Linked DNA regions of Coturnix japonica. The protein of the gene in region 1 interacts with the protein of each later gene in a biochemical or structural test. Links are inferred from orthologs where the notes say so. Each region holds a gene or a part of one and is shown in the gene's direction. Other genes may lie near its edges.

Evidence for each region.
Region 2: the proteins of RGS4 (region 1) and GNAO1 form a complex in vitro, tested with the Homo sapiens proteins (2 studies listed by BioGRID). The link is inferred for Coturnix japonica from reciprocal best matches to the Homo sapiens genes RGS4 and GNAO1.

What each region holds. Positions count from the first base shown.
Region 1 is NC_029523.1:3,576,256-3,580,832, forward strand, and holds the start of RGS4 (regulator of G-protein signaling 4), read left to right. Parts: upstream 1-1,612; 5' UTR 1,613-1,819; coding exon 1,820-1,863; intron 1,864-2,157; exon of another isoform or gene 2,158-2,180; intron 2,181-2,884; coding exon 2,885-2,989; intron 2,990-3,763; coding exon 3,764-3,825; intron 3,826-4,577. UniProt on the Homo sapiens protein: Inhibits signal transduction by increasing the GTPase activity of G protein alpha subunits thereby driving them into their inactive GDP-bound form. Activity on G(z)-alpha is inhibited by phosphorylation of the G-protein.
Region 2 is NC_029526.1:479,956-484,507, reverse strand, and holds the start of GNAO1 (guanine nucleotide-binding protein G(o) subunit alpha), read left to right. Parts: upstream 1-1,437; 5' UTR 1,438-1,696; coding exon 1,697-1,814; intron 1,815-1,887; coding exon 1,888-1,930; intron 1,931-4,552. UniProt on the Homo sapiens protein: Guanine nucleotide-binding proteins (G proteins) function as transducers downstream of G protein-coupled receptors (GPCRs) in numerous signaling cascades.

The sequences.
Region 1 (4,577 bases):
TTCTTAATTGCTGTCTATTGCACTGGCAGTGTTAGAAAATGCCTCTTAATTAATCGAGAAAATTGCTCGATTAATTAAGAATTTTCTCCTTGACCATATTTTGCTCTTTGACTTTGGAAACAAGAGACAACAGAGAGCTTTGGCACCAGCTCTACAGTGCTCTGTCACTCCCTGCAGACCCACCCCAATGCTGTTGGCTCACCAGCGCTCAGGTGAAGTGTGACAGTGCCCTGTGCTAGGGTTACGTTTTAGTCCAAAGAGTGTGGGAACTGCACAGCTCAGGTCTGGCAGCAGTCACATTAGAACTAAAGCATTTTAAGGTTTATTGGAGCACTTAATGCTCCACTTAATGAACATCCAGGGCATGTAATGAACTGAAAGGATACAGTGTGCCAAGGCAAGTAAGCTAGTCCAGGAGTTGGGTCTTCTGTGCTGCATGCTGGAGGCTGTAGAGACAGTGGAGGGTAAAGATTACCCTGCACCTTTTCTAGGCTGTGGACAAAGTGTTTCAAGTGTCCTGAGGGAAAGGGAGCCCAGCAGTGGGCAATGTGGGCAGACAGCCTGCTGCTGAACTGAAGCTGCTTTGTTTTACAGGAGCAGCCTGTGCGCATTATGGTGTATGACACCCTCTTGCAATGATGGTACAGATTGTGCTGAGGAGCAACTCAATAAGTATCAGCCAGCTTTTGCTTTCAGAGGGGCTGCTTTCAGCCTGCTTCTGCCTTCTGTACCCTCCTGGGGGTGAGGAGAAGCAGCACAGCTGGAGTCATTCAGCTCTCCTTTGGAACTACACCAGAGCCAGGCAGTGCAGCCAAGCATCCCCGTGCTCAAGTGTGAGGTACGTCCGTCCTTTAGCACAGGGCAGCCTCAATGCTGCCGGGAAGTCTCCTCCAAGGAGGCACTTCTATGCCTGTTGTGTTGATGCATCCTCTCCCCTTGGTGCTCAGATATGCTGAGTAGCAAGGCCTGGCTTTTGCTTAGGGGCAAATGCAGATGGAGAAGTGAGGTGTTAGTGATACCCATATTTCTAAGGCAGCCATGTTCTCAATGCCTCATCTTTTTTTTTCCTACACATGTGCACGAGCTGCCTTTAAGTACAAATGTGCTGGAACTAACTCATTTTGTATTCCGGTGGTGATGTGCCCCTCAGACCTTTCCTTTCAGCCTGATCAAAGGCACATATGCACACACCTCCAGAACAAAAATACCCAGTCTCATCGGCTTGGGCAGTTCCCTGGTGAATTCACAATCCTGTTTCCTCACAGCTCCAGCTTCTGCACTTGCTAAGGCTGTGAGAACCTATGGGGTTTTGAATTTTTGTCCCTTATTTTCCCTAGGTTCCTTTAAAAAGAATGGGAGAATGAACCAAGGGGCTGGCAGAACTGATTCCCCTGACCCTTTTCATTGTGCCCCTCTGAAATCTTTCCCCAGCTTTTATCTGCACCATTCCGTGTTTTGCGACAGAGGAAAGCCTCTGGAGCTTTTTTTCATCCTTTGCAAAGAATCTACCTCTGCAGCCACCCAGCTTCATTTCTGCTAAGGTTTTCAGTCCCACTCAGCCATTTGTCTCAGCTTATACGTCACCCTCTTCCTCTTGGGTGGGCAGAAGGGGGACGGTGCAGCTGCTGTGCTGGCTGCTGACTGGGTCACCGAGCGCTGCTGGGCTGGCTGGGCTAGGCTATAAAACAGAGCCACGCCAAGCAGCTGGTTCACAGGCAGACCGAATTCTGCAGCCAGCAAAGGACCTGCGCAGCCCCTGCTGCCTCCTGCCTTGTGGTTATTTGTTTTCCTGGAATACAGACCCGACCTTGGGAGCAAGATGTGCAAGGGACTCGCTGCACTGCCAGCCACTTGCTTGAAAAGGTACTGTTTATTTCTGAGCATCTCTTGTTGGTCTTGTTATGTGGAGATACGTTGATGCGTTGCACTTTGTGTCTGAGGCAGAAGTGGCAGATTTGGCTCTGATTGCTATGTAAGATTAGATACAAATGATGATTTACAGGATTTTTACTGTTAGTCAGAGTTGCCTAAGGGATTTGTACTGAGCTGTGGGAACGCTAAACCCATCCTTCCCATCAGCAAAACAAGCAGCTCACAGCATTGCTCTGCCTTGATATTCCTGTCATCTGCTTCTGCTGCAAGCTTTGCACCTCTTTTCTGCTTTCAGCGCTCTATCTCTGGTGAGTTTCCTTTTCTCTGTTTCTTTGAGGGGGAAGCAAGGCAGATATGATTCCACAACAACCGGGGCTCATTCCCCAGAACACAGCCTGAGTGCAGAAGCCAAGCTTTGCAGGAGCAGGAGACCAGGGCTGATGTAGGGTCTGGCTACGCTCTATATGTGGCACTGGCCAGGCTACCCCTGTGCTGGCTGAGCTGCCTGTGTACCCCCAGCACCACAACCTGCCCCACAGCCCAGTGGGTATTCTTGCTCTCATCTGGGAAAAAAAAAAGCTGCCTGATCACCATGGCTTTGGAAGCAAATAATACTGGCATCTTCCTGCAGGAAGGCATTAGTAAGCATAGAACCAGACACTGGTAGCTGGGCAAGTCAGTTCAGGGAGAAGCAGCACGTTTAGTGATAGTTTTCTATCACAGTATTTTAAGTGGAAACAATTAGCAGTAATACAGCAGCTTCTCCCCCTTTACCAGCCCTCCCTGCAGGCTGAGGAGCTCAGCAAGATGGTGCTGCTGAGAGTGACAAATGAACACTGCTGTATTTTGTCTAGCAAATGAAACAAGGAGTGAAAAGTCAGCACTGGAGCCACTGGATGTGACCTGCTTCGGTCTAACTGAACAGTGCTGAACAAGCTTACTGAAGGCAAGGTGGCTGCAGAGGGAGGTGTAGTGCATTATCCTCATGTCATTCTTGAATTATTTCTTTCAGTGCCAAAGACATGAAGCATCGTCTGGGTATCTTGCTGCAGAAGTCAGACTCCTGTGACTATGGCTCTTCCCAGGGCAAGAAGGAGAAAGTATCTCCAAGCCAGAGGTAAGAGCTGTGCTGCCATGCAGTTGAGCAAAGGTTGGCTGCAATGTGCTGTTTACTCCTGCAGTGAGATGGAGTCATTAGCATTTCTGCTGCCGCTGCTTCTTAGCACCTCCTGAGCTCCCATGTGTTTGAATCCAGAACTGAGTGCACTCTCAGTAAGTCTGCAGATGACACCAAGCTGGGAGGAAGTATCAGTTATACAATGGTATAGAGTGGGGCAGAGTGGCTGGCAAGCTGTGTGGAAGAAAAGGATCAGGAGTGTTTGTCAATGCTCAGCTGAACATGAGCCAGTAGTAAGCCCAGGTGCCCAAGAAGGCCAACAGCATCCTGTCATGTATCAAAAATGGTGTAGCCAGCAGGAGCAGGAGGTGATCATCCCTCTCTACTCAGCTCTGATGAGGTCACACCACAAGTGCTGTGTTCAGTGTTGGGCCCCTCACTACAAGAAAGACATTGATGCCCTGGAGCGTGTCCAGAGAAGGGCAACAAAGCTATGAAGGATCTGGAACACAAATCTGATGAGAAGAGGCTGAGGGAGCTGGGAGTGTTTAGTCTGGAGGGGGCTCAGAGGTGACCTTATTGCTTTCTACACCTATCTGAATGGAGGCACAGGCTGCCTGGGGAAGTGGAGTCACTGTCCCTGGAGGTGCTCAAGAACCACATAGATGTGGCACTGAGGGACACGGTGTGAGTGGGCTGATGGTTGGACTAGATTTTCTTAGCGTTCTTTTTCAACCTTAATGATTCTATGATTCTCCCTTTTTCTCCTGATAGGGTTAGCCAAGAGGAAGTCAAAAAGTGGGCAGAGTCACTGGAAAATTTGATCCATCATGACAGTAAGTAAAGAGTTTCCTTCTGCGGGAGATGCTGAGGGTTCTGCCAGCAGCCAGCATGCCTAGAGGTCCCAAGAGGCATGGGGTGTTATCTTGTGTCTTTTAACAGCACGAGGTAGCTCCTTTGACCACATGGGCCTCTGGGAGGGTGCTGTATGTCAGATCCAAGGGGTAGCGAATGTGGCTGTATCAAGAGTAGGGCTTTGGCTGATTGCTAGGCTGTTCCTTTTGTGAGGGCAACTGTTCCACTCCTGTGCCAGCTGATTTCAGGAGCAGCAAGACTGCAGCACGCAGTTAACACTGGGTTAAATAAGGCAGAAAGCAGAGAAGCTATTTCCTGCTGAGTCCTTGGGAGACTTTGTCTTCCTGTCAGTTCCAGACCACTGATGCCCTTGAGGTTTCATTCACGCCATTCCCATGGACTGAGACACTGCAGCGTATGCTAGCTGGCTCCTCGGAGCCTTCTGGGAGCATGCAAGTTGCTTGTGTTCTGGCTGAGCCACTGAGGGTCACGATATGGGGGTAGGCAGCTGAGGTCCCACATGTGACATCCCAGTGTGACCTGCCTGAATTCCAGCCTCCTTTGGCCTGCACGAGCTGCTGCTGTGGAGGCTGGAGCTGTTGCCAGCAGAGAGGAATCATTCAGTCAAGGGTAATCCAGAACTGCTGTTTGCTGAGGCAGTGGTGTTCATCGGTGTTGACTGAACCCAGAAATTAATGCTCTTATTTGCTCTGATTTTCCTCTATAAACCCTA
Region 2 (4,552 bases), on another chromosome or scaffold:
GGGGCAACATCATAGGAGAGGAGGCTCTGCTTTCAGAGCAGCGCTCATACAAATTTGCCTGTTAACAAGTATCCAGAGGCTTATACAAAAGACCAATTCTCTTAGAAAAATCCTTGGAGAGGATCCCAACAGGACTCCAAGGCTGGCAAGCTGCTGGGGAGATGGGCAGTAGATGCAGCCATCTCAAGAGGACACCGCCTCTGGATTTCTGGATTGTGGTTTTCCTATTCTGCACTTTTCATAATGCCCTCTGGCTGGTACCATTGAAATGAAACCTACTGATTGAAATTCTGATCCTATTGATTTTACACAGGAGATCTGCTCAAGTATGAAAGAGCAGGAATTGCTCCGCAGCCACCCCCACCCCCACCCGCTCCCTGCTGAATACAGGCAGTAGGTTTGCTTTCCCATGCAGGTATACCCTTTTCCCCTGGGCTCCCAGAAATAAATTACCCCAAATTCAGATATTCAGTACCTATTAGCTCACAAATGTTCGGTAAATACCGCTGGCCCTTGAGTACGCTAACATTATTTATGAGCTCCCTTTTACTTCCCTTTGTCTGCTCTGCCTCACATCTCTGCTATACACTGTTAACCACATGCCACGCTTCTCCCCTTTGTTTCAGAGGTGTAGAAGGAAAATGGAAACGGTGCTTTATGGGAAGGAGGTCATATAATGTCAGCCTGTGCCCAGCCCCACCTGGGCCGGGTGTTTCATTATGGATAGTCACAGCGGGCAGCGGCCCCACAGCATCCTTCTGGTTCTGTTTGCAGGGAGGTGGAGAGGGCTGTGGCAGCAGCTCTGTTCCTTCAGTGAGCTCCTCGGCCTGGCTGCTCGTGGCAGAGGGCAGCCTGCTCCCAGAATACAGGCCTTGGTTTCATAGAATCAATCAGAGCTCTCCCTTCCCTGGGTCCAACCCCAGCTCACCCCACCAGGACCACATGGCACGGCTCTGACAGCTCCATGGATGGTGACTCCCCCCTTCCCTGCGCAGCTGTGCCACCGCCTCACTCTTAAAGAAGGAATAGTTCCCAGTCCCCAACCTGACCATCCGCGGTGCAGCTCGAGGTCACTACCTCTCACCCCGCCGCTGTTATCTGGAGCAGAGGCCGAGCCCCCCCCCAACCTGCTGTCAGGGGTCGCAGAGCCATGAGCTCCATGCCGAGCTCCATGCCGAGCTCCATGCCGAGCTCCATGCCGAGCTCCTCTCCATCTGACCCAGCCCGTTCCCTCATGCGCTGTGCTGGGAGCATGCGCGGTACTCGCGCGTCACGGCAGCGGGCGAGGCCTGCGGAGCGCGTCCCCCTCCCCCGGCACATCCCGCACATCCCGCACCGCCGCCGCATCCCCGCGCCCCGCCAGGCGCGCAGCCCGGAGCGGCCCCGCCCCGTTCGTCACGTTCCTCCTCCCCCTTCGCTCCTCCTCCTCCTTCAGCTCCGCCCCGCCCCGCCCGCGGCCGCCCGCGCTGCCCGCAGCCCGTGGATGCGCTGAGCGCTCGGGCACGGAGCCGCCGGCCCCGCCGCTGCGGAGCCCGCAGGCCTTTGTTAATCCCCGCGGCTGTCGGCGTTGCGCTGCCCGCAGCTCGGTGCGCCCGGCGGCGGCGGGGGCTGCGCTTTTTTTTTTATCCCCTCCCTTTTTTTTTTTCTTTTTCTTTTCTTTTTTTTTCTTTTTAATTCCATTCAATCCGTTCTCGCCATGGGATGTACCCTGAGCGCCGAGGAGCGGGCCGCCCTGGAGCGCAGCAAGGCCATCGAGAAGAACCTGAAGGAGGACGGCATCAGCGCGGCCAAAGACGTGAAGCTGCTGCTGCTCGGTGAGCCCCGCTCCGCTCCGCGCCCCGCGCCGCCGCGCCCCGCGCTCACCGCTTGTCTCTCTCTGTCCCGCAGGGGCCGGAGAGTCGGGGAAGAGCACCATCGTGAAGCAGATGAAGTGAGTGCCGCGGGGCGCGGGGCGGCGCGGAGGGCCGCGGGCGCCATGTTGTACCCGAGGGCAGCGCCGGGCGGGAGGCGGCGGCCGCTGCTGTTCGGGGCCCCGTGGTGCTGAACGCCGGGATGAGGGCGGCGGGGCGGGCGGTGGGCGGCTGCGGCCGGGACCGGCGCTCGGGAGGAGGAGGAGGAGGGAGGGGGAAAAAAGCACGAAATCCGCCCGTAATGCGGATTTAAAGCGAGGCTCGCTGCCACCCAAAGCCCCTTTTACCCGAGATTTGAGCCTTTTAATTAATGAGAGGCGAACTTGGCCGCCGGTCGCCAATTATGTTGAAAACGGGTTATTAAAAAGGGGAAAGGAAAAACACGCGACCCAACGCGCCCTGAAAAATCAGCCCTGCCTTCATGCAGCACCTCCCTGACAGCTGTGCCGGGCCCCAATGGGAGTGGGCTGACATGGCTGCCCCACACCGTGCCCCCAGCACACAGTGATCCCAGCACGTGGCCAGGCGGTGCTTCCAGGGGGAGAGCCAGCGGGGCTGTGGGAGAGCATAATGAGGGGTGGGAGAGCCTGTAGAGGTGTGGGAGAGCCAACAGAGGTGTGGGAGAGTCAACAGAGATGTAGGAGAGTCAACAGAGATGTAGGAGAGCCTACAGAGATTTGGGAGAGCCTTGTAGAGATGTGGGAGAGCCAACAGAGGTGTGGGAGGGCCTTTAGAGATCTGGGAGAGCATATAGAGATGTGGGAGAGTCAGTGGTGGTGTGAGAGAGACAACAGAAGTATGGAAGAGCCATTGGAGATGTGAGAGAACCTATAGAGATGTAGGACATCATATAGAGGTGTGGGAGAGTGTACAGAAGAGTGGGAGAGTCAACGGGGGTGTGGGGAGCTCAATGGAGGCATGGGGATCCAACGGAGGCATGAGAGAGCCAGCAGAGGCACAGGGAGCTAATGGAGGTGCGGGGAAGCCAGTGAAGGTGCAGGGAACCAACGGAGGTGTGGAGGTGCAGAATTACTCCATTCCCTTTTCTTCCCTTTAATTAAAGCCCATCCAGCCGCAGCCTCCCACTGGAACGAGCAGGCGCCATAGCTGTGCATTGGGGCTGGGTGTCACGGTGGTAGAGGCACGGAGCGGTTCTTGTTTCCCGATAGGGAAGGAGCCGGTGTCTGGGAGGGGCCGTGGGGCGGGCGGTGTGCCCGATGTGCCCGGTGTGCCCGGTGTGCCCGGTGTGCCCGGTGTGCCCGTAGCCATCCGCAGTCCCTCCGCGCTGTCCCTCGGGCGCGGCGTGGCGCGGCTTTCAGGCGGTTCTCGTGGTGGACAGCGCCCAGCGGGGACTCGAACCGCGGGGAGCGCAGCGCTCGTCTCCTCCCTCGGCGCTCGGCTGCCTTCGGAGAGCGCTCGGGGGCGGTCGGGGGGGAGCCGAGCAGGCTCGGAAATAGCCGAAGGGGCTCGGGCGCCGCTCGCCAACCCTCGGGCGTGGGCTCGCCGCGGGCCCGCAGCCCGGCGCGGTGCCGTGATTGTACGGGGAACAGCACATCTCCTGTAGCGGGGGGGTCCCAGAGGACCGAACCACCGTCCCCGCCCGAGGCAGCGTTCTTCCCATAGAGCTGCAGGGCTGTGGGAGCGAGCAGCCTCGCCCTCGGTGCCGTTCCATCCGCCTCTCCCGCTGCTATCGGTGTGCAAAGGCTCCGAGGCCCCGTCAAAGGGCATTTGGGGATGTGGGGCCGGGAGGATCGGTTTGGTTTGCACTTGTTTGTATGTGAAAGGTGGATCGGGAGAGGAACTGCTGCAGATGAACACCACTAAATTATTTAATCTCTAGGAATGGCTTCTGCAGGAGCGTGCTGGAATGGCGGGCGATGCTTTGGTGGAAGGAGAGGCTGTGGCTGCCACTGGAACAGCGACAGCGCTGTGGGTGAAGGGGCAGCTGTGGCCATGGTGCCTTACACAACCACGCACGGGCTCCTGTGCCGCGGGGACCAGAGCTCTTGTTGTTTAAACGAACTGGTTCCAGATAAAAGCCGGCTGGCTGGGCTATATTAGTAGAGTGAGGGCTGAAAAACACCCTGTTGTAGGTCTATATGTTGAAGGGAGCAGCCCTAATGTGGCACACGGCAGCCTGCAGCCTTGTGCCTGAGGATGCGGAGCTGGCTGCCATGCTGGGAGCTCCGGGCGAGCAGTGGGGCTGGGTGGGGACGCGGCAGCAGCCGGGGGGAGCCGGCACCGCAGGGGAAACCAATGCTTCTGAAAATGAATTTAAATATAATGCAGGCATTAGCATTTCACCTGGTCAAGCTCCATTACACGGGGCTTGCTGAGAACCTAATGAATTCTTAATAAAGATGAAATTGCGCGTTCATTAGATTTTGATGAAAGAGACCGCTGCTTTATTTTTTGTAGTGCTGTGTTATTGGTGCGCCTCCAGATAATAAATCTCATCCCCGTGAATGGCTACAGCAGGTTCACACTTGGCTGTCGCCTCATGAAGGAGCACAGGAATGTGCTAAGACAAAGGAGGGGAGAGCAAGCGTTGTTCACAGAGAGCTGAGAAGAGGCGGTGTGCTGCTGGTTAGTGCTAGAGATACTGGGTAGGGGGAAGAGCTGGCAGGTAGAAACTGCAGCAC